Linked DNA regions of Alligator mississippiensis. The protein of the gene in region 3 purifies or fractionates together with the protein of the main gene of each other region. This does not show direct contact. Links are inferred from orthologs where the notes say so. Each region holds a gene or a part of one and is shown on either strand. Other genes may lie near its edges.

Evidence for each region.
Region 1: the proteins of WWP1 (region 3) and SMAD7 purify together in Homo sapiens (affinity purification with western blotting; 3 studies listed by BioGRID, with this or other methods). This does not show direct contact. The link is inferred for Alligator mississippiensis from reciprocal best matches to the Homo sapiens genes WWP1 and SMAD7.
Region 2: the proteins of WWP1 (region 3) and PTPN21 purify together in Homo sapiens (affinity purification with mass spectrometry; 3 studies listed by BioGRID). This does not show direct contact. The link is inferred for Alligator mississippiensis from reciprocal best matches to the Homo sapiens genes WWP1 and PTPN21.

Annotation. Positions count from the first base shown.
Region 1 is NC_081826.1:289,548,614-289,556,632, forward strand, and holds the start of SMAD7 (mothers against decapentaplegic homolog 7), read left to right. Parts: upstream 1-2,561; 5' UTR 2,562-2,792; coding exon 2,793-3,279; intron 3,280-4,550; coding exon 4,551-4,604; intron 4,605-8,019. UniProt on the Homo sapiens protein: Antagonist of signaling by TGF-beta (transforming growth factor) type 1 receptor superfamily members; has been shown to inhibit TGF-beta (Transforming growth factor) and activin signaling by associating with their receptors thus preventing SMAD2 access.
Region 2 is NC_081825.1:271,808,195-271,816,213, forward strand, and holds the start of PTPN21 (tyrosine-protein phosphatase non-receptor type 21), read right to left. Parts: upstream 4,392-8,019; 5' UTR 3,962-4,391; intron 3,333-3,961; 5' UTR 3,244-3,332; intron 1,304-3,243; 5' UTR 267-1,303; intron 1-266. Other genes in the region: ZC3H14 (zinc finger CCCH domain-containing protein 14), read left to right, coding at 4,540-4,575, 4,718-4,760.
Region 3 is NC_081826.1:49,484,196-49,492,214, reverse strand, and holds the start of WWP1 (NEDD4-like E3 ubiquitin-protein ligase WWP1), read left to right. Parts: upstream 1-3,424; 5' UTR 3,425-3,588; intron 3,589-4,048; exon of another isoform or gene 4,049-4,145; 5' UTR 4,146-4,168; coding exon 4,169-4,351; intron 4,352-4,354; exon of another isoform or gene 4,355-4,373; intron 4,374-4,937; exon of another isoform or gene 4,938-8,019. UniProt on the Homo sapiens protein: E3 ubiquitin-protein ligase which accepts ubiquitin from an E2 ubiquitin-conjugating enzyme in the form of a thioester and then directly transfers the ubiquitin to targeted substrates.

The DNA.
Region 1 (8,019 bases), about 240 Mb from region 3:
GTCTACTGCGCATTAAAGTGCACGTGTAGATGCGCCCACAGAGGACTAGATGCTTGTGAGTAGTCTCTTTGCACCTGTGTGTCTTTACAGGATTGGGGGTCCACATTTGATCCTACAGTCCTTTCTGCATGCAAAGCATCTGGGGAAGTCAGTCCAAGGAGCATAAAGCATTTCCAGTATGCACCGTCTGGAACTTTATAGAAAAATAACTTTTGTGCTGTCTGTGTTTGCTGGGTGTTGTCCTGTTTATTTCATAGCAATTATTTTGGAATTAGATGTGTTTATTGCAGCCAGATTTTAGAACATATGATTTAGGAGTCTTGGGTTCTATTTCCAACTCTGCCACTGACCTACTGTGTGACCTTAGGCAATTTAATAGTTGCTCTTGGCTCTGACCCTGACAATACTTATTTATAGGACTAGACCATTCATTCTAGGGGACTAGTCACCTGTGTTAATGTCGGCAAGATTGGGACCCTTGGGCTGAAAACACAGTGCTAGGAGCTCAGCGCTGGCTTCCCAGCTCTTTTACAGGTTGAGACACCACTATATACAATTTCCCTGACCTGACTTGATTTACCCTTCTTCAAAATGGGCACAAGAGGACCTGACAGGAGTGGTGACAGGCTTAAATAATTAACACCCGAGACGCTTTGACAGTGAATGCTACAGAGTGCCAATAAAAGGATTACAGTGCTCTATTAATACCAGTGCATCATTGTCCTTATCTGTAAAAAAAAAAAAAGGGGACAGTATCCACGATTGCAAAATACTTTACAATGCAGGATAAGCATAAGGTATGATTATTATTTATTGCATTTCATAATCTCTTCGAATGTACAAACCAGCCTGTCCTTCTGAGAGATATACATCACACATGCATATATGTACACACACACACATATATACACATACACACATATGTATATATTCACATATATGTATACATATACACACAATTATATACACACACATCTATATATATATATGCACACGTCTATATATACACACATGTATATGCATATATACACACATATACATGCATATGTATGCATATTTTGTATGTGTGTATGCATATTTTGTATGTGTGTATGTATGTATGCGTGTGCATGCTTGTATATAGATGTGTGTGTGTGTGCATGCATGCGTGCACATGTCTATATTTGCAATCTACTAAGGCAAATCTTATTTCTTAACACTCCTAGGCCTGGCTGCTCCTCCAGGCTCGGAGGAAGGACCCAGGCGAGCCAGGAGCCTGCAAGCTCTGGGGCTCCCACTTCAGGGCGTTTCCTGGCCCCCACCTGCCCTGGGTGCAGCACCCCCCTGCAGCCCAGCTCGCCCGTGGGCTCCGCCAAGCCCCACTGCGGAGCTCTCGTGCTCCCTCCCCGGGGCTCAGCTTTGCCTCGGGGCGACCCGGCTGCACCATGTCGCCTCCCTTTCTTCTGCGGGGCTGGGGGAAGAGCCTGCTCGCTCGGATCCCTGCCCTGCTCCTCTCTCTCTCCCTCTCTCTCTCTCTCGACTTCAGGAATAAAAAAAAAATAGATTTTAGCAACCCGATCTCTTGTTTGCGCAACACAATCACTTTTTTTTTTTTTTTTTTTTAAAGCGACAGGGTGTCTAGACGCCCACGTGATTGGGGCCGGGGCTGGGCAGCGCCACTGCGCACTGAGAGCGCCGAGGCGAAGCCGGGGGAGGCGGCGGCGGCGGCTGCACGGAGGAGCGGCGGGGCGGCCGCTGGGCACCGGGGCATGGGCACGGGGAGCTGAGCCGAGCCGAGCCGAGCCGAGCTGAGCTGTTGCTGGCGGGGGACAGGCTCTGCTCCCCGGGAAGCAAGGAGGCAGCGGAGGGGAGAGAGAGGGAGAAGCCAGGAAGGAAAGCCGAGCCGAGCCGAGCCGAGCCGGAGGAGCTGCTCCTTCCCCCCCGCCTCTTCCCTGCGTATCGGGAGCCGATGCGGGGAGGAGGCAGCCGCAGGCAGCGCGCAGGGCTGAGCCGGAGCCGGAGCCGGAGCCGAGCCCTCGGGGCTGGGGACCGTCGGTAGCGAGAGGATCCTCCCGGGCACCTCGCAGCAGCCGCCGCCTCCTCCGCGCCCCGACCCCGTCCCCGTCCCCGTCCCCGCCCGGGCGCGGCGGGAGGAGTTTGGGGACAAGTCGACTGGAAATAAAACTGCCCGCGCGGCTCCCGCTGCCGGCGCGGCCACGAGACGAGGGGGATCTCACCCTCGGATGTGATTGATTTTTTTGGGGGGGGCGTGTGTGATGATTTTGTACCTTTTTGACACATTTCAGATTTTGATGATGACTTGAACTGAGCTTGAAACAAGCAACCCCCCCCCTCACCCCCCACGTTGTACAGCTTTCCTTTCTCCCTGCCCCCCAAAACTTCCCCTGGGCTGGAATCGGTGGATGTTTGACTCCGGAGGATACCGCGAGTTTCCTTTTTCTGTTTTTCATTTTTTTTCCCTTCGTCTTGTTTTCTGCGAGGAAGATCTGCTCTGCTCGGGGGGCGGCGGGGGCGCTGCGTGTTTTGGGGGGCGGCTGCTGATTTGATCGGGGGCCGGTGTCGGCGGGCGGGCGCGGCTCGATGCCGGGCGCGGAGCCCCGCGGGAGCCCCGCGCCCCGTCCCGCCGGCTAGCGCCGCACCGCGCCGCGCCGCCGAGCGAGACTGGCGCATGTGGCACCGCGCTGGGGCTCGCGGGCTGCCGGCGCTCGCTGCCTGGACGCGGAGCCCGGATCCTTCATGACTTGCGGACGACATGCTCGTTTTGTAGCCGGGCACCCCGCTCCTCGTCCCGCATGTTCAGGACCAAACGCTCGGTGCTCGTCCGGCGACTCTGGAGGAGCCGCGCTCCCGGCGGGGAGGACGAGGCGGGCGACGCCGCCGCGGACAGCCGGGCGCATGGGGCCGGCGGCGGCCGGGGCTGCTGCATGGGCAAGGCGGGCAAGCTCGGCAAGGCGGCGCTGGGCTCCGAGGCGGAGCTGAAGGCGCTGACCCACGCCGTGCTCAAGAGGCTGAAGGAGAAACAGCTGGAGGGGCTTTTGCAAGCCGTGGAGTCCCGAGGGGGCACCCGGACCTCCTGCCTCCTGCTGCCCGGCAAGGTGGACTCCAGACTGGGTCAGCATTGGTACTCCCTCCCTTTGCTGCTATGTAAAATATTCAGGTGGCCCGATCTCAGGCATTGCTCGGAAGTCAAGAGGTTATGTTGCTGTGAATCTTATGGAAAAACTCATCCAGAGCTGGTCTGCTGCAATCCCCATCACCTTAGCAGGCTCTGCGAACTAGGTACGGACAAGGGGGGGACACGCGTGTGCGCGCACACGAGACACACGTACGCGCACGCACACACATGTGGTTTGTATGGATTGCATGCACACACGTGTGTGGTCTATGGACTACACACACAGGCTGTACACATGTCCTATATGGGCTGCACACGCATGTGGTCTAGACTACACACACGTGTCTATGGACTGCACACACACACACACGGTCCATATGGACTGGTTGGACACTTGTGAGTGTGCATGGGGGTGGCAGGGCTGGGGGGTGCGTGGTTGCATGTGCGGAAAATTTGGGGGTGGAAAGAGGTGCTGAGCCTGGGGGTTTGGTAGCGGCGCTGAGCGGGCAGAGCAGGATGGTGCCCGCCCCGGGGCTGCGGGAGGGGAAGGATTCGGGAGACTTGAACTTGGGGGCTTGGCCCGGCCTGGCCTGAGCGGCAGAGCAGCCCGCCTAAGCACCGGGGGACAGGCCCCCTTGCTCCTCCGTGCATACAGACATGCCCAGCCGGGCTGGGATGTGCAGGCGCTGGGGGCCAGTGGGTCCCAGCCCCCGCCAGCAAGAAAACGTTTGAGAGCTGCAGCCATGCTGCCGCCTCCTCCAGGCACAGCTTTGTGTCTCCAAATAAGCCCCAGCAAAAAAAGTGTCGGTGCATTTGCCTGGCCAGTGGCATGAAGGCAGGGCTCCCCCGGCAGTGCTCGTGGTGGTGCTGTTCCGGGCGGCGTGGCGCCCCCGGCCCGACCCGGCCGGCCTCCGCCTCTCCCCTCCTCCTTCGGAAAACATGGCAATTACTTGCAAACTTTGCTTAGCTGCTGTAGCACAGAAATCGGCCCCTTCTGACTAGTGGGGAATTGCTGAAGGGCAGCCCTTGATTATTATTTTCCTCCTTCCACTTCCCCCCCTCTTCCCCCCAGCCTTTCTTTTTTTTTTTTTTTTTTTTCCCTTTTCTGTGAAATGTTAAATGTGTATGCAGCTAGCAAGGATTATCTGGCAGTCGGGATCAGTTGGTGATTTCCAGAGCTGGAGTGTTTTAGCTGAGCCAAGGAGGCCCTGATCAGACAGCCAGAGTAGCAGATAGCAGGGAGACTGGCGCCAGGCGGCCCCTTTTGTTTATCTGACAGCTAAATATCAAGGCAATCGCCGCTTAGCTGCCCTGCCTCCAACCCCCAGAGCTAAGACAAACAGTTTTGCTAAAAGAATGCCACTGTTATCATAAGTTCCTATCTTTTTTTTCTCATGGCTCTGCCTTTATTTTCTCTGTACTTTTCTAATTCCAGAGTCTCCCCCTCCGCCCTACTCCAGATATCCAATGGATTTTCTCAAACCAACTGGTAAGTAGACCTTTAAACAGAGGCTACTGTCTTCAGATAAAAAGGGAAAACAACTCTTTCTCCGGGGAAATGTTTCTTGCCTTTGTTACACGTCTGATGCATTTCACTTTTTGACCATTTCTCTGGGGTGTTCTGTGCTTTTTAACCCCCCTGCCCCATAAGAAGAAATACATGTTTTGACTCTGAAAAAACCTCCTGCGGCTGTCAGATTTAGCAGGGGATCTGGTAGGGATGGTGATTGCAACTGCTGGCTTTTCCCAACAAGGGACTTGGAACATTTTGGGATGGATCTGAAGAGAAAGTAATGTCAATTTGCCCACTTTGCCTAGTGAACACCTTCTCAGGCAGTCTTCCCAGTGTAGCTGATAATGTTATGTGGCACAGGGAAAAAATGCAAGGCTTGTTCTCAACCCTGTTCCCAGTGATGATGCATTTAATATTAGTAGAGGTTGTAGCAGAGGAGTGTAGGAAATTTTTAATTTCTCATGAGTAAGGGCACAGAGCAGTTTTGACACATGTGGTTTGTGCAGATCTTCTTGATGTTTGAAATCCTCTGGAATTCAGCATTATGAGATTTTTATTTTTTTTTTATAAATGGAAGGGAATATCAAAAGTTTTTTAACACAGCTCTGCATGCCTGTTGCTTGTAATTGAATGGCAGACTGCCAGGGCAGAAGCCCATTTGAGGCTGGCACCAAGCTCTGTTGCGGTTGTCTGCATAAACTTCTGGTTGGCAGGCAGGCTCACCCTGTGTTAGATAAATAGGACTGGCATTGTGGAAGGAGAGAGAGGTTTAGTGGAAATCGGAAATGTGGATGAAGTCAGGGAAGGGCAGGACTCCACCGAGACGCTTCATATCTCTCTGAAGATTAATGGACCCAAAGTATTGATTGTAGCACGATTGTCTTTGTGATAGCGTCTTAAAGTCACGCAAGGCAGCCTGCTATGAAGGAGAGTCAAAAATAGATTTCTTTCTAAAGACCCAGTTCAGGTCTGTTTTTCTAAAATTGTTGCTGTTTGGTTGCTTGGGACTGGCTGCCTGCTAGAGCCCAAGCAGTTCTCAGCCCCCAGGGGATGAAGTTTGTCTTTTCACTTCACAGTTGCCCTCGGTCAGTTCTTAAAAACAAAAAAAGTTTGCTCTAGAAAACTAACTCTGATTAAATTAAGTTCTTAGGAACTTCCAGGACTGGATCTTATGACAAGGTCCATTTCTTTCCCCATTGTAAGCTCTTATAACACACAGGTTTCTCTGTGCCATGGGGAAACAGGCACAGCTGTTCAACTAATGAATGGGTTGCATGTAATATTTTGCCTTAGTCTTTAAAAAAAAACACTAGATAAAAGTTCATTATTTAATGAGGAGATATCAGTGTTGTGCTTTACATCCCTAACAAGTGTTACTTGCATTTACTAGCTGTTCTGATTAAGGAACTGTTTCTTAATATAGTCGAGCGTGGACTGAGTAGGACAGAATTTTATTGTTAGAGGAAGAACGTTATCACTGAGACAAAGTCTGTAACAATCAAGAGACTGATGCTTCCTTAGGACGTTCAAAGGCTTAGGCCTTTTTTTTAACCGAATAATGACCCTGGGGGAAGACACAAACTGATCTGTGGACAGTTGAGGAGGAGAGCTGCTAACATAAAACTGTAGGAAAGAAGAGTTAATGATTGCCTTGAGCTTCCTGTAAAGATGTTAGGATAAATCTATTAGCAGGGTTTAAACATCCAATCTGCCTTTGCCAGGACCTCATTTTCAGTTAGTGGAGTGATATATTTATTCATTAGCAAGTGTTGACATAAGGTAGCAAAATGTGTGTAAACAGAAAAGCCGCAGAAATGAATGTGCTATTTCGAAAGGAAAAGTTCTTCATATCGGCCAATAGGAAGTGATTAATGCTGCCAATCGGAAACACAAAAACAACTGGTTACTCACCAAAAAAGGTTTTTTTTGTGCTTTTTTTTTAATCCATTTGGCAGTTGGATTCAGAATAGGGAAGTGCATGGGGCAGCGACAGGGACAAAAGACATCTGTAAGTTTGTCATTGCAGGTGGTTTCACAACCTCTGGCAGGTTTTATTTTTGGTCTCCTCTTTAATCGAGGCTATTGTGGAGAGCAAGAGCACACACATATGGAGCGCTGTGTGTAGATAGCGTTGCTATCCCTTGCTGCAGACAGAACCAGGCTGGGAGCATGCTTTCTCACGTTTTTCTAGGTTTCAAAGCATTATGTCAACCATTATTTGGTTAGAGGCTACTTAGATGAAAAAATATTAGCTTTCAATGGAAGGGGGTTCAAATTGGGCAGATTTTAAACACAGTCCTGTCCTTGCTGTTCTTCCGCTTGCTTTTGTTGCACATCTTTGCGAAGAGATTGTGGCAGAGGACCCAGCAGGCTGAGTGTGTGAGGAGCCTTTCTACTATGATGATGAAAACCGCTTGGTCAGTTCAGCATTTTTATCTACAGAGGCTAGTGTCTCTACTAGGAAGCTTGACACAGGATGTTGACATGAAATGCAGTGCTATTATTAACAGGAATATATCAGCCTTTAAGGTTAAGTCATGCAAGAGCTTCTAATGAAGAACTCCAGTTGGAGTACGTGGGAATGTTGCTTGAGCAAGGCTTGAAGGATGAAGCCCACAGTCTTTATAAATGGGAACGAAAGCCAATAAATAAATGTAGTTACAGCAGCTTTCAGGATGGGTGAAGTGAGATTTAGCAAAGTTTCCTTGGACAGGGACACGCAACAAATCATTGGCAAAGCTGAGAGTAAGTAGACTCCCAAAAATTCGGACATAACTGAAGTATATTTTGCGGTGACCTTACAGCTTTTGTAAATGCTCCTAGAGCAAAGGGCTGTACCATCCTTATTCAAGAGCGTGAACCTGCAGCTCTTATTGTTCCCATTAACTTCAGTGATAGTCATCACCTCTGGAAGGGCTGCAGATGCGGACTCCAAGGGAATTGTGCTCTTGATATAATATGACCCCACCTCTGTGTGGATATGAACCTTCACAGAGAGTCTGGGGTGGGTGGGGGTCAGTACAATGAAGTCAGAAGTAGAGGGGCCGTTTAACTAGTAAGTCCATCTTTCTGTCCTGGGTATGACCATAAATTGCATTCAACTGGAGGGCCTGGTGGCAGTGTGGTGGGGTGACTCATGGGGAAGCTCCTATAAAATACCACAGTGTTGCAACCTCCAGAGTAAGGCAAGTATAGGGCTCTTCAAAACCCTAGCCCTACTGCCTTGAGGGCACTCCTTGGCTGGAGAAAGGCTAAGGGACATCACCCTGGCAGAAAGGTGCCCACACTGAAGTGCTGGCAGTCAGCAGCCGCTCTAATCTGTTGGTCTCTGGCAGCAGCTACAGCCATCGAGGCACTGAGTGTCTGGACTTGGTCTGGCCTTGGGACTCTG
Region 2 (8,019 bases), on a different chromosome or scaffold from region 3:
AGGATGGCTAACACTTGCAGTTCACACCATTATTTCATGGTTATGCGGAGCAGCCTAACAAGTAGGGCACTTTCTTCCCCGTCTCAGGCCACCCCAGCACAGCTCTGCAAAGCGCACCAGCAAACTATCACAAACTTCCTCTGGCACCTCCGTCCCCCAGGCTGCTTCTAGTCACCTCACCAGCCGGGGGAGGAAGAAACAAAGCAGGGAGGAAGAGCTCCGCTGTCCCCCGCGGCGCCTGCCCTGCCCTGCCCCTGCCCCGTTACCTGCCGCCGCGATCCGGTGACACGCAGGCGCCTTCCCCAATCCGGGTCGCACGGCCCGACTGCGCCGGGACAGCCGCTGCCCGCCCGCCCCTACTGAAAACAGCCCCGCCGCGGGTCACGGCGCTGCGCGGGGAGTCGGCACCGGCCCGGCCAAGTAACCCTGGCGCAGGCTGGCGGGGGCCGGAGGCGCTGTGCGCGGGGCCGGGCGGGGAGTGTCGTGGCCTGGAGGCGTTTCCCGGCCGTGCGGAAGGATACGCGGAGCCGCCAAGTGCTCGCCCGCAGCCCGTGACCTCAGGGAGCAGGAATGCGCGGGGCGGGGGCGGGGACGGGGCAGCGCCGCTGCTTCTCCTGCCACCCTGCGCCCACCCCCGGGACAGCGCTAGTGGCAGCCGTGGGAGCGGCCGGGCCGGGCCGCCCCGCCCTCGCCTCAGGCGGGTGCACAACGCGGGTCCTGCCCGGGGCTGACCCGTGCCCGTGCAGCACCCCCTTCCTCCCCTCCGGGATGTGCCGGGAACAAGGAGCCTTTACTCGGTGCCTCGGTCACAGGCACCAAGCGGACGCCTGAGTCTGAGCCGCGGCTCACTGACGGGAGACGCCACTGCCGTGTGACAAGGGCGCGGGCGCGGGGGATGCGGCAGTGCCGGCCGGTGCTCGGGGTCCCCGCGCCAGCTCCGGCCAGCGGCGCACGCGCACTAGGGCGCAAGGCTGGGCCCGGAGCCGGGGCGCCGCGTGCTCTTGTGTCCGGGCCGCCCGGCTGGCGGCAGCCGCACCCCGGGCGCTGCCCAGCCTTGCCGGGGTACGACAGCCATGGTGTCTGTAAGATCCTTCCAGCCCTCGTACAACGCAGGGTCAATAATAGTAAAAGTGTTTAAAACGTATGATGACTTTTGAGGCAGGTCATTGATGCAGCGAATGCAAAACTCAAGTCACGGAGAATCTTAATCCGGTTTTGGGCTGGCTGTCAGCACCTCCTAACACTGCGCCTCTTGAAATAAAGAAATGCTTCCACTTCCACGTTCTTGCTCGCAGACTGAGGACTTACAGTGATCAACATAAAGTACAGAAGAAAACTTATTTGCATGCGTTTTCAGTGTATGATAGTTTTTTTTTTTCCAGCAAATACGGTAATTTTGAGTTCCAATACAATAATTTCATATTTAAGACCTGCCAATGCTGGCACCACCTCTCCAGGGCCCCAAAGATCATAAGTACGGGGCATTTCTAATCCAGCAGGGTCTCCTCCCGTGCATAGGTGGGGAGGCACATGCCCCCAAGATTGGCTGACATGGCAGCTGGCTTCTGCATTGCTGATTACTGCTCACTGCCGCCAACTTCTGCTGGTGGTCTCCACTTGACACTGCTGGCTTCTGTGGGCATTCGCCAATTGCCACTCATAACCCCTCTCTCCCAGCTGGCTTCTGCGGGTGGCCACTGCTCACCACTGTGCCGCCAACACTGCCACCCACAAATTGTGCCCTCCCTCCCCCCCCCAGTCTCAGGAGGTACCAGTCATTTATGCTGCAGTGTGTGGCACATGGGTGGGGGGGGGGGGGCGCACGGCAGGGATTCTGCAGAAAAAACCTAACTGGGGTCAAGGTGTGCACATGGATCCCCAACAGCAGTGGCAGCCGGAAGGGCTGCTGAGAAAAGCACAAGGTGGGTTGGGCTCCGGGCTGTTGCGGGGGGGGGGGGGGGGTTCTCTTATGGGGGCGCTTAGCCCCCCCAAGCTCTCCCATAATTCAAACCCTGGCAGTGTGGCCCTTTACACTGAGCTGGCCCTGTGGAAGAGGCTGGGTGTGGTGTGAGGAAAGAGACCAGACCTGAGGCTGATTGTTCCTCCTGAAGGAAACAGGTTCCATCAGGCTATGCCTTACGGCAGGGATTTTCAACCTTTTTTAATAAGTGTACCCCTGGCGGCCTCCTTTTTAATATGTGTACCCCGGGGGGGGAGAGGGGTGGCAAGCGCAGGGCAGCCGCAGCAGCCGCTGCTCCTGGCACCGCTACCCGGGAGGAATGAGCTAGCGGAGCTCGTGGAACAAGGGGCTGGGCCCCTCCCTGCACCTCCCCACTCTCCCCTCCCCTCCCTTCCCTTTCCACCTCAAACAGCTAGCACTCACGGCCCCCAGCTGTCTGTGCACAGCGCAGCGCGCACCTGCCGCCTGCCCAGACACGCAGAGCACATACAGCCCAAGAGGGGGCCACCCAGCCCCAGCACACATGGGGCAATGCTGGACGTGGAGTGGGGCAGGAGGTAGTGCATGGCCAAATGCAGAGCTGCTGCGGCCACCCCGTGCAAGCTTTCCCTGCCCTCGGTGTTCAGCTGGGTAGGTGGAGCCTGTGTGGCAGCATGAGGTGGTGGGTGGCAGCGCTCCATCCCCACTTGCCTGCATGTACCCCCTAGGGACTTCTCAATTACTCCCAGGGGTACATGTACCCCCAGCTGACAACCCTGCGTTAGGGACAGGCTGCATGCAGCTGTCTCCGGTCAGCATTCATGAAGTGAGCTTCAGCTCGGGAAAACGTGTGCACACGGTATTGGGGGCAAATCTACCCTGCCTTCTAGACTTGAGACTGTGTCTTTCTCCTTCCTTTTCCTAACTGTATGTTGGCTGCGCCTGAGAATTTCTCTCAGACCCTCCACTAGGCAGTGCATAACTTGCTGTGCCCGGCTTCCTAGATTCAGAAAACTGAGGAAGAATGTCTTACATGGGGAAGCTTGTCTAACTTTATCCCAACTACACAGCTGGTCCAAGAAAAGATATCGCTCTAAGAAAACTTTGCCTCTCGCATCTGGACCATCATGGCTACAACATCACTTACGCTACCTTTCTCCATCCTGGCAGTGCTGGTCAGTACAGCCAGGATATGCTGGTTTGTACAGGTGGTTAAATCCACCTTGCCCACACCCCACGTTTTGATAATCCCAGGGCTGGCATGGGACCAGACTCTAATGAAAGGAACATGGTTGGAACTGTACCTACGATGGATGGGATGGCATCCAGTGATCTTCACATCCAGAGACATTTGCACACAGTTCTCATCAGATCAGTGAGAAAATCCTGATTCCTGAAAGAAGAAGAGTAGAAAAATAGAGATGTCTGGCGATTATTGCAGGGGGGAGGGTGTTAAAACCATATCTCCTTTTTACAAATCCATTTTCTTCCCCACTTTCCTTTTGCTCTTTTTTCACAGCATCTCTGAGACCTTGTGGACATTGAGGAGGAATGCCACCATCTAATTTATTCATCGGCAGCGAAAAGAAAAAGGTACCCTGTGAAGTGTCAGACATACCCAGCCCTTGGCAGGTTACAACAAATCCACATCCTTTCTATGCAGATTAAAAGTCCATCCCTGTTTACTTGTCCGCAATCCCTCCATTTAGGACAGTCTCTACTCCAGCTCATTGACAGGTCTCGACAGTGGCAACGCCTGGCCCGCCCCCCTGACCAGCCCTGCTTGCCCTTCACGCAACAGGCGGGGGGCAGGCGGGAGCACGGGTCTTCCCCCTGCGAGCGCTGGCCGGGGAGTGGGGGTGCCGTCGGTGAGATTGGCCACGGGGGGACCCCTGCCTGGTCAGCGAGAGTGGCCGCTGACTGGTCACTGGGGGGGGCATGTGCCCCCACCCCCGACTTAGGTGGCACTAGATGCCCAGGGGTCTTGAGGTGACTTCAGAGCCCAGTCCTTGAGCCACAGACCTGTCTGCAGAAGTTGCAGGTCTTTCCGCAGGGGAGAACAGGCCGTAGGCCAAGACGTCTCTCTTTTTCCTTCCTCTGTTCTCTCCTGTGCTTCAAGGGCGAGCGGCTTCGCCTCAAAATGGGCAGCTGCCTGCTTAAGGCTGCCGCGCCACTGGACTCAACGGGCAGCTAGCTCCTCCTGGCTCTTGGTGTGGGCCCCCTGTCCCCTGCAAACAGACCTCTCCCTGCGCTGTAATACCTTATTGGGGGGCGGGGGCTTTTGATGAGGGCTGAGTGCGGTGCTTGAAGCCGGACTTTCCCAGCCCCTGGGGCAACAGCCGGCCATGCCCGAAGCCCCAGCCATGAGTACTTCAAGCGAATTTTAAAACGTGGCCGCTCGCTGCCCGGGCGCGGCGAGGCCTGGCAGGCGGCGCAGGCCGAGGCCCAGGGCCGTGCTGGGGGCGGGGGCGGGGCGGAGCGGAGCGCAGGCCCGGGCTCTCCCGGGCGCCGGCAGGGGGCGCTGCGGGCGGCGGCCGCGCTCTCCCCGGCGCGGCCCCCCGGCTCCGGCGCGGCCCGCGGCTGAGGGAGCCATCGCGGCCATGGAGATCGGCACCGAGATCAGCCGCAAGATCCGGGTGAGGCGGCGGCGGCGCCCCCAGCCCAGCCCCGCCGCGGGGTCGGGCCCCGGGAGCAGGGCCTGTGCGGCCGGGGCCGGGGGCCGGGGCCGGGGAAGGCCCCCTTCCCGCTCCTGCCTAACGCGAGTGTGTCTCTCCCCAGGGCGCCATCAAGGGGAAGCTGCAGGAGCTGGGCGCCTACGTGGGTGAGTGTCCGGCCGGGGCTGGGGCTGGGGCCGGACTCGGCCTGGCCGCCCGCGTGCTCCTCGCTGGGCCCGCGGGCGAGGCTAGGCGCCTCCCGTCCCGCAGCGCAGACTCGTGGGGCGGGAAGGGGCCTCCAGAGGCCGGTAGTGCGGCCAGCACCAGCCCTGTCCAAGTCGTCCCTGCAGCTGATCGTCTGCCCACGACATGAGACTAACGTCAGCCCCACGAGTCAAGCAGGTCCTGCTCCTGTAACGTCTAGTTAACATGCACGCAAGAGGTCGCAGTCGGAGGGCCCCCGCTACCGTCCCTACCAGTCTGACCGTGGGGTAAAATTCCTTGCTGACCCCTAGTACGCCGGTCGGTCTGACCCTGAGCAGATAGTCCCTGCCCTTAAGACTGGTCGAAAACAAAAACACACTTTACGTGAAGAAGCAGTGTTTGGTTCAACCCCACTTCACAGTGTCTGTATAGATCGGGCGCTTTGGTGGGTGCACTTTTATTTACAGCTGATTCAACCAGCTATTAGATAACAGTGCCAAAACAGTGCACATGCACTGGGCTCAACGCAGGGGCACACAGAGTTTAAAGTAAAGCACTGATTTTGTGGGGGAATTACTTCTATAAGCAGCTTAAGTGCATATACTCAAGAGGAGGCAGTAGGTGTGGTGCTGACCAGTGTGGGAGACAAGGATATAACAGGCTAAGCTTTGTCAAGGTTTTTGTAAGTCCTGAGGAAAGGAGTCTTTTAACAGTGAGAACAATGAAGTGGCTTTGCAGGTGCTTACGGGCAACTCTTCCCAGGTGTAAGGGACAGCCAAAAGGAACAAAGGTGTGTGTCTAATGCAGCCTGAAGTCATGTGCTAGGTGGAGCCTGGAGTCGACCTCAGCATTGCATGAGAGCACGGGAAGGATGAGGATCAGTTGGAGGGCTTTGAAAATGCTGGCAAGCAGTGTACGTTGGATGTGACAGAGAAGGGGGAAACCAGAGAGAGAGACTAAGATTTTTAGTATAGATAAGAAAGCAGTCCTGTAGTAATAGGTGGAGTTGTGAATTGTCTGTGTAGAGACAGTAGTTGCATTTGTGTTTGTGGATGACCTTTACCCAAAGATAAGTGAGCGAGGGAGAAAAATGAGCCCCAAAGAAAGAGCACTATGAAATGTAATTTCTCCCATGACTGCAAATTCAGCAGTCTGCATTTTTTGTTTTAAAGCAGCCAAAGTGGGTAATAATAAGACAGTTGTGAGAAGAGATTCAATCCTCAAACTGGGTACGTGCTTGTAGTTCAGGGGTGGGCAAAATGCGGCCCTAGGGACTAGATGCGGACCGCCAGGCCATTCTGTCTGGCCCGCAGGGCCCCTAAAAAATTTAGAAAATTAATATTTATATGCCCCTGGCTGCCTATCATGCAGCCCTCGATGGCTTGCCAAAACTCAGTAAGCGGCCCTCCGCCCCTGCTATAGTTGCCCACCCCGTTATAGTTCCTCTTATGGTACCATACAGAATTCAGGTGAAGTAGTCCATAGGAGGTTGGCTACATGGGTTCAGGAATCATCTTGCACTTGTGGGATCAAGCCCAAACCTCCTAACTGGATCCTATATTATCCCATTAGAGATGGCAAATGGATAGCTGCATTTACAAACCAATACAAAATGATGTTGAAAGGATGTCCATCCCATCCTCTTTTCAAACTCAGCATGTTCTGAGGAAGAGAGCTCATCATTTTTACCTTGCAAGTTTTCTTCCCAATTTTTTCTGTCAATAGCCCTTTTTTTAGTTTCTGTTATCCAAGCTTACAACCTACACATGCTTAGTTATTGTTCCCCCTTCCTCTTTCACTAGGCTTTCAGTCCTTCTACCTCTTTTGTCATCACCACTATCTATTCTTTCCCATTTCTAGTGCCAAGATATTATTAGTAATCTCTGATTTCAGCTGCTTCTACCGTCTCCTAATTTTTCTTTCCCCACTAACTCAGTCCATTCACAGGGCTACTACAAAGGTCATCTTTGCAATGGCTTTAACTCTTTTCTGTTAACTTTGACTTTTTAAAATTAAATTAAAGTTTTCCTTATTCAGTTCTAACACACTGCCCCCATTGTATCCTTTCCCCTTTCTGACTACCTTCACTACACCCAAGTTTCTGTGATCGTTTTTTTTATTCCTTTCTCACTCCTGACCTATTAGTGCTTGGATCAGCATTCCAGTTAATGTTTACCAAGTGTCCCCTACTTCTCTTCAGGAAATTGATCAATTATTCTCTAACTACCCTAGACATAGACTGTTTTCTGTGTGTGTGCTTTTATCCTGTCTTGTGACAGGTGGTACTATTTATTCCTTTGTAAGATTGCTTAAGACAAAGACTTTTAACAAGTTATTTATCATGTAGATAGAATTGTTGAAGGAAAGTTTCACTCCGTAGGAAATTAAATAATGGAGAAAAACATAAATATTAATCCATAATTTATCAAAATTATTAAAAATTGAACATACTCTTCTGTTTACCAGTGTGGCAGTAACTACTGCATGTGGTAGTAAGATAACTGCATGTTTGGAAACAGTAATAATGTGTCACAAACTAGCAGTATAGGGCAAAACATAATCTTAAGAATTTTTGGTTTGGTATATGAATGTAACTGCTATAGCCACACATTCAAAAAAGGAAATAGACTGGTAGATCGAATTGCAGCAGTTATAATAGTATTGCACTCCTGTCCATAGCTGAGAAAAGCCTGGCTGCATTCTCCTTAACAGACTCGCTTTCCTGGCTGAGGAGATTCTACCTGAGTATCAGCGCGGTTTCAGACTGCTCAGGGATACAATAGATGTGATCTTTTTTGCTAGACAGCTGCGGGAAAAGTGCCATGAGCAACACCAAGATCTTACGTGGCCTTTGTTGGTTGAATTAAAGGCCTTAGTCAGGTCAACAGAGAAGCTGCCAAAATTTGTTACCATTATCAGATTTCTTCATGATGACATGACAACAGCCATCTTAAGCAGTGGCTTGGAAATGGACTCCTTCACTATTAGAACTGGACTCAAGCAAGGATGTGAGGTTGCACTAATGTTCTTTTTTCCATCTGTATCGCAGCTGTGGTGCATCACATTGCTGATAGACTTCTATCTGGACTCAACATCCAATATTGCATGTACTGTTAACATCAAACAGTTACAGTCCAAATTCAAGATAACCCAATGTCTCCATTACTGATCTTGAATGTGCTGATGATTGTGTCATATATGCTCAGTCAATCGAAGAGCTCC
Region 3 (8,019 bases):
CAGCGACATAGCGATTGTGCGGGTCTACATGTGATCACCAGCTAAGCTGACGTAGTGGCCCACTCCCCTAGTATAGAGTGATGCTACGGTGACATAGTAACAAAACCTAACCGTGCACCGTTTGCACAGCATAGTAACTGCCCATACTGTGCTGTGCTTTAGGACTTCTAAACAAAAACTTCACCGATACTGTATCTAATGCTGCAGTCCTTTCTTGGGATAAACTATTGTCTGAATCTGAGTCAATTAAATATATAAAGATTTAGGTGATTGATATATTGATAATAATATAGTAAGGCAACTAAGGAGTCATGCTTTCCTTCTGCTTTTCAGAAGATTTCCATAAAAAAAATTCTATCCATTTTTAAACTATACTATAGAATAAGAGAATTATAGCTTCTCCCTAGATTTACATGGAATGGTCCAAAAATTATAGGAAATGTTTTAAATTCTAGATTAAATTCTGAGTTTCTTTAGAATCGTATTGGTTTTGTTCCTATGAAATATTAGACAACTTTTCCATAGCAGAATGTGAGATGAACGGCACACTTTGGACTAAAAGAATGTCACTAGAATCACCCCCAAACTCACCTTAATCTTCTACATGAGTAAAAGAAAACTAGAGATATTCACTGAAGAGAGAAGGAATTATACTGTTCCACACAACAATCACAGGACATCCATTCTACAGACTTGTTAAGACTAGCATTGCCACCCAACCCTCAGGCAATTTTCTTTACTGGTAAGGATGTAGGCCTATTGTATGAGACTGTGCTGCTTTTCTCTGTGCTCTGGATGAAACTAGGAAGGAAATAGAAAGGTGGTCAATAATATGTTTGTTCAACAACCAGACAAGCAGAAGGGTGAATCTATAACAGCAACATACTAAGCACTTAGCTTGTAGGTTCTTTATTTGACCTTGAATTTCCCAGATTTAGAATCTGTGAAGCCTAGTGAGTGAATGCTATATAAGAATCTAATATTAATTAAGCTCGTGGAGGCCAACTCCAACAGTAATATACCACTTCTCTAGGATTTACTTTCCTAGCCAATTATATTTGTTACGTTTGTAGTGTTTTCAAGCTTTAAGATGCTAAAAGCTTCAGGCTGATTTATGGTTTCACATCTAAAGCATGTGAAACTTATCTGAGATTAGCATTAGATTTTTTATTTGTCCAAAAACAAAACTCAAAGAGAGTTTGGCAAAAAATACACAAATAAAAATAAACATGCATATAAAAACTAGATTTTCCCCCAGCAGCAAGTTTGAGATTTACATCCAGTTAAGTTACAGGAAGCAAATTCTAGCTGTTTGCACCCAATGAAGTGATGCAGGCAACTAATACTGAAGGTCCAAGCATACCATATTTCATCTTAATGTCACCATCCTGAATCACTGCATACTGGGACTTTTAGTTTTTGCAGGCCAAAGCACATTATAAAGGTTACATGTGATCTACAAAAGGGGGAAAACCGGAACCCACAATTTTCTCTTTGCTTTTTCAAGTTCATGCAGGATGACATAGACTTGAAATTTTGCAGCTTGTTTTAAAAAATTAAGGCTCCTAAATGGCAAACATTTATACACATACTTTATTATACTTGCTAGCACAGTCCTCAAAGCAAGTCAAAACAAAAAAAATCCTTCAGGTGTTTTATGCTTCACGTGAAAACAAAACATCACCACAAGCCTATTTTTTAGAAGCCAGCTGACTATTACTTTCAGAACACATTATGGGTACCCTTTGCATGAAGCTATCCATCCAATTAAGGCAGTTATAAGACAATTTAGTGCATAATATGAAGAGGTGGACGTAGGGAAGAGGCAAGCAAGCAAGAGGTATCAAGTACTGTATGTTAAAGTATTTTTTGTAAAAATATACTTTAATTAAAGGCTATAAGGGGACACCCCATCCAGAACAGCATTTCCATGTATTAATTAGTCTGAACAGTTTGGTCTATTCACACTAATTGCAAACTCCTTGGGACAGGAATGGCATCTTATTTTTGGACATAAATGAAAACATTAACCACATCTGCAACAAGCAAGCCACTGCAAAGTCATGAAGTAGAGCTAAAAATGCTTATTAACACAAATTACAGATGCAGACCCCAAGAGCAGAGTCAGAAAACAGGGAACTCAATTATAGGGTACAGATTTTAGAACAAGTAAAAGGATGAATACATAGTGTTAGGTACCTTAAAGGAAATTTTTTTCTTGTGGATAAGCACTTTTTCAAAAGAACAGACACAAATTCAGATAGATCCCATTGGAGACCATCCTGGAGGCTCTGCAGGGCTCCCATCCCACACCTCACTGCTCTCAACCTTTTTCAACATGAGGCACCCTCCACGCTTGTGAATTGAGGGGCACTACATTTAAAAAACTAACTTCAGCGCTCAACTCCTTGCACAGAGGGCTGGACTGGGCTGGGCAGTGAGAGCAGCCCTGCCCTGCCCTGCCTGTGCCTGCACTTATCTGCTGGAGTCCTGGTGGGAGGCACCCTGGCTGGGGCTCACGGCTGGGCCCCATGAGACCGGCTGCTGCTCACAGTGCAACAGCTCAGGACAGAATTTGGTTTTCCTCAACCCCTTAAGTCAGTTTGCTGTTTCCCTTAAGGTAGGGCTGTGATCTATGAAGCGAAGGCTTTGGGTTAAAAACAGGCCTTGGGTTTGAGGTGGCTGTGACTGACCCGAGCCCAAACCTGTGACACAAGAGCAGCTGGCCCTTCGGTTGTGCCAGCAACAAGCTGGACTGAAACACCCTGAGTGCCTTTCTCTCCCTTCCTGTGCCGGGCCTTCAGGTGGGCCCAGGGGCTCCTACTTCTGTAGGATCCCAGCACAGGGGGAGAGATGTCCTGCCTGGGACACTGCTTTTGCCTTCCGGCTCTGCAGTCAGTTTATTAGGATTTTCAGGTGAGTGATCTTTTTCTGGGCATTGTTTGCAGCAGATGTGTGACCCCGCCCCTCAGACCCCGGGGGCCTGCAAGGACCCCCACCAGGGCCCACTGCGCGAGCCCCCTACCCCGGCTCCCTTAGGGGCTGAGTCTCCGCTCACTGAGGTCTCCCTGCGAGGCGGGGATAGCTCAGCACCCCGCCCCGGGACCCGCTGCTCGTACCGCCCCGTCCTCGCGCAGGGCGGCCTCAAACCAGGACCTGCAGCTTGAGCGGGACTGACCCTGCTCGTCCCAGCCCGCCCCCCGATATGGAAGTTGGTTCAGTCCGGGGCAGGCGGTTACCGCACTCTTTTCCCTTGGTTCAACCCTTCCCCCCCACAGCTTCGAGGAAGTTGGTTGCGGCCGGGCGCTTAGCCAGGGCGGTTGTGGTCGGGCCCGACCTGTCCGCGCGCGCGCACGCAGGCGCTGACGCAGGGAGGCCGGCGCGTGCGCGCTCGGGGCTCGGCCGTTGGGGGGAGGGCGGCGCGGGGCGGCCCTGGCGCAGGGGCGGCCGTGGCTGTGGCGGTGGCTGCGCGCGGGCCGCCGATGCCGCCGCGGTGAGATGGCAGCGCCCAGCGAGGCGGCGGGCCAGCGGCAGCGCGGCGCGCACGGCTGAGGGGACGCGGCGGCGGCTGTCGAGCTGCGAGCCACGGTAGGGACATAAACAGGACGGGGCGGGACCCCATGCCCGGCCTGTCACGGGGGTGACAGCGGCTTCCTCCGCTGGGGGGAGCGGGGCAGCCGCTGCCCGGGCCGGGCCCAGCGCTGGGGCGGTGCCGGGCTGGGCTCGGGGTCGCCGTGTCAGCGAATAACCTTGTGTGCTCGGGCGGGGGAGGGGAGCCCCGGCCGCGCCCGCCGCCGCGGTGGGGCCCTGGGCCCTTACCTGGGGGGACAGGAGGTGGCAATGTGGTGACATCGCTGTTTTGCTCCCCTTAACTGGGGAGCGGGGAGTCCGCTCTGCGGGGATGTCCCCTGCAGCCTGTCATCACGGCCCCTGGAGGCACCAGGCTCTCCCGCAGTCTCGCAGTGGGGGGGTGCTCCTGCCCCTGCTCAAGTGGGAGATCTGATGATAGCTCCAGTAGTCAGGCTTTTAAATGATAAAATACCCACAGATTGCTAGAACAGGCCCCAGGTCGTTGCTTTTATTGTAAAAGGAGCCTGGCGTGGGTTCCCCCAGCGTGTGCGGGGCTGTAACTTCATTCACCACAGAAACAAGATGCGCCTCCCACTGTATGCCATCAACTAATTGCGCTGCGCTCCTAATCGCGTGCTCCACGAGCTTCGACGGCCGGCCCATGCGGATAAGAAAAAGATCATATGGATGCATGAGAGTCCTTCAGCCTTCGGACAAAGTTCTGCAGACAGTCCCAGAAGTTGTGTTCCTCTTTCCCGTGTGGGTTACTGCTTGGATAGAGGTGACCAGAAGGGCTTACTTGGGTATGAATGTAGGTTAGACACAGTGTGCTAATGCCTATTTTACTACAGCAGTTCTCAGCCAGGTGCCGTGACACCCCCAGGTGCCTTGAGATCCTTTCAAGGATGCCTTGTAATGTTAGGACTATTAGGCATGTGAACATGATTCACAAGATAAACCCAGAGATTTCAAATAGGAATCCATAGTATTAAATACATTCTGACTTGTTACGATCAAGTTTTTTGCAACAGAAGAATTACTTTATTATTTTTTTAAGTTTTAAAAAAAAAAAAAAAGGAAAAACTAAGTTGGTATTTTTTGAGCAGTGTCTTGAGTCTAAGAAGGTTGAGAACCACTAGTTTACTAGGTTGTGTTACCTTATGTTGAAAGTGGGCTAGCTAGTAAGATCTGTGATGATTTGTATGTGTGAAATAAAAATGGATGCCAGTGACCCTTTATAGTATAAAGGCTTATACTTTGTTTATGACATGAACTTTTGTAAGTGAATGAACACATTGACTAGTGGTAATTTGTTAGAACCTTTTGGAAATGTATAAATGGTAATTCTGTGACTTTTTTTTGATTAGAGAAACCAACTGGAAGACTGTTATCCTTGTATTGAGGGACTGCTGATGAAGCCAGCTAATGTGAAGTCAGCTAGACATAAACTCTGTTAATTTAGTGTTTCTGTGATTAAATGAGATTCAAGGAATGTTCACAAAATGAAAACTTAAACTATGCTTTTTGTTGTCAATGATCCCCAGATCTTAAAAAGAACCATGGAGTTCTTTTTTGGGACAAAATAAAAGAAGAGGAAGGAGTACCCGTCTGTTCCTTCCCATCTTTCATTGTGTCATGGGGCTGCCACCTGGGAATACTCGCCACGTCACTTTTCTTCTCCATCTTTACTCTTTACTTTGCAGGAAAGGACAAGATGTGTTCTCCAAGCCCTTCCTGTGTTACTTTTACTGCCCACAGCCCAGATTTGAGGTGGGAATGGGCAGTACATCCTGTCACTTCCCTTCTCTCTCTCAAACTCTATAGTAGCTAATGGCCTGAAATGAAAAAAGTTTTAGTAACTATGGATTGACAAATTAAACTGCAACTACTAAATAAAAAAGGATATCAGTTATAAATTAAGGGCAGGAACTAGCTGTTGGGTGTTGCCTTAAAAATGCAATTCTGAACACTTAGAAAACTTTTGGTTGACCAACTTGGTAAGAAGCACATCCCTCATTAAAGCTGAAGGCACACATAGGGATTTTAAGGGGTTAAGGCATAAAAAAAAAAAAAATAATAATTTCCCACATTCAAAAAAAGCTTTCCAAACTAAGTGGGGTTCTAACCTATTGGCTTTTCAACTAATGCAAATTTCATTTAAGAAATACTAGATTGTTTTTAGGTCTGCTTCAAGTTGCACCTGCAATTGGTGCAATCTTCCTGAGTTTGTATAAAGTGGCTTGAGTAGTGGGAAGGTAAATGAGTTGTGGTCTGTTTCCCTAGTTTCATTACTCATTATAAGATTCTGAATAGCAGCTATGAACTTACTAAGAATCCTGTCAGTTTCCCTGTTTTGCATTTGCTGAAAACTATGAACTGACTTTTACCAAATTGATTTTGTAAAGGATCAGATACCAATCTTAGCAGAGAGCAAAGCACATGTAGATGTCATTGAGACAAAGAGGATAAAATATGGCCTGGTGTATTAACTAAACTAGATATTATATATTTTGCTGTAATTTAGGAAGAAGGAAAATTTTGTGTGCCCCCCTCTTTTTTTGAATCTCCCACATTTTTGCTTTCTTTCTTCCTCCATACTTTTTCTTTCTTTTTTCCTCCCCTCTCCTTTTTCTCTCTACTTCTTTCTGAATCCCACCACATTTCTCATCCTATATGCTTTCCTGTTAAATATTGCAATAATTCATGTTGACTTATAAAAGGCTGCTATAGTTTCACTGTGTTGTTCACACCCCCATGTAATGGGCATCAGGATAGTTCATACCTCTTAGCCCTTATTTCAGACTATGTTCAGACTTGGATAATACTGTATCAGTTATGTACGGGTTGATGGTGTGTATGTGGGAGCAAGAGTAGAAGAGGAAGCATTCCACTGGGAGGGCTAGAAGATGACAGGTTAGATTTGTCATGTTCTGTTTTTGAAATCTTATTATAAAGCAAAGTGATATTCAAAAGGAAGACCCTCTAAAACTAGAAGAGATTGTCAAATTGCCCGAAAAAAGTAGGAAAAAAGCTTCTTTCTTTTTATCAAGGGAGAGGCTTTCCTTCCCAAACAGAGACCCATAGGAAAGAAAAACGCATGTCATCTGGAGACAGCAGTACCTTCCTCTTTCCCAGTAGGTGAAAATTTGGGCTTTCTACCAGGACTTTGCTATTGGACTTGTTAAGTGGAGTGCCTTATCTTCTCATTTCAGAGGTTCTGATACATTTCCAGAGACCTCTTTTAAGGTATTACATCATTAGAGTTTCTTTTTAAAATAACCTTCCTAAAACTTGCACATTCGTTATTTTAGAACAAATTTTTGCTTTGCTTAGGACCTCACTTAACCAGAACCAGATTTCAGTTTACCTCTGTTTCATCATAATTTATTCAAAGATCAGCACTGCAGAAATGCTTCAGTTAAAGTGAAAAGGAGAAACATTAGTATTACATATATATTCTAGGGCAAATCTTCAATCTCATATATCTATGGATAAACAATCTTTGCAGCTGGAAAGTAAGGGTAACACGACCCTTACTGTTAGTGATTATTGGCATAGGTAACCATGTGTGCAAAGGTGCTTCTGCAACCAGAATTGTGTAAGAAACAGTTTTTTATTTTTTTTTTATTTTAATTTTTTTATTCCATCTTGCTTTCATTTAAAAGCCATCATCTTATGCAAGTCCTAAAGAAATCATGATATTGTAAAAGCACCATTAAAATCATGTTGGCAGAGGTTATGAACTTATATGCTTTATGAAATATACTTTACAGAACTTATTCTTCAAATTTTATAATATTAAGGTAGTAATGATTTGAAATTTGATTGAAGAATCTTTAATCAAAAAGGTAAACGCATGCTTTCTAAACAGTGTATCTACTTTTTTCACTTCTGAATTTTGTTGTTGTTGACACTTTTTCCTTACATTGAAGTGTTAAATCCAGTCTTTCTCATCTCATCTTTTTTTGTGTTCTACTTCTGGCAACAGAGGCGGTGTACTATGATGCATTCTTTCTGAGCCATCCTTCATACCTCTTCATTTGCAAGAAATGTTAAATTTGATGCAATCAATGTGATCATGCTGATGGCCATTTACTGCTCATATCAGCTGGTACCATTTAAAACTAGGCCCTCTCCCTGGCTCATACTACTTCAGTCAAGAACTATTGCTTCAGTATGCCCAGATAGAAAATGGGATAATTTTAGTTCTTAAACTAGCTTCTTTATTATCCCTGTTTTTACCCCTCCTCTCTTGAAACCAAACCAAAACTAAAATAAAACCCCCCAAAATAGTGATTTGTCTTAAATGTACAGATTGCTGTTATATTTTAAAGAAACTTTTTACTCTGTGTGTGTCTGTGTGTACATGTGCTTGTATGTATGGTTTTTTAAAATATTTTTTTCAAATTGTTATGGAGGTGTAAAAGTAATTATTTGCAGCAAAAATCT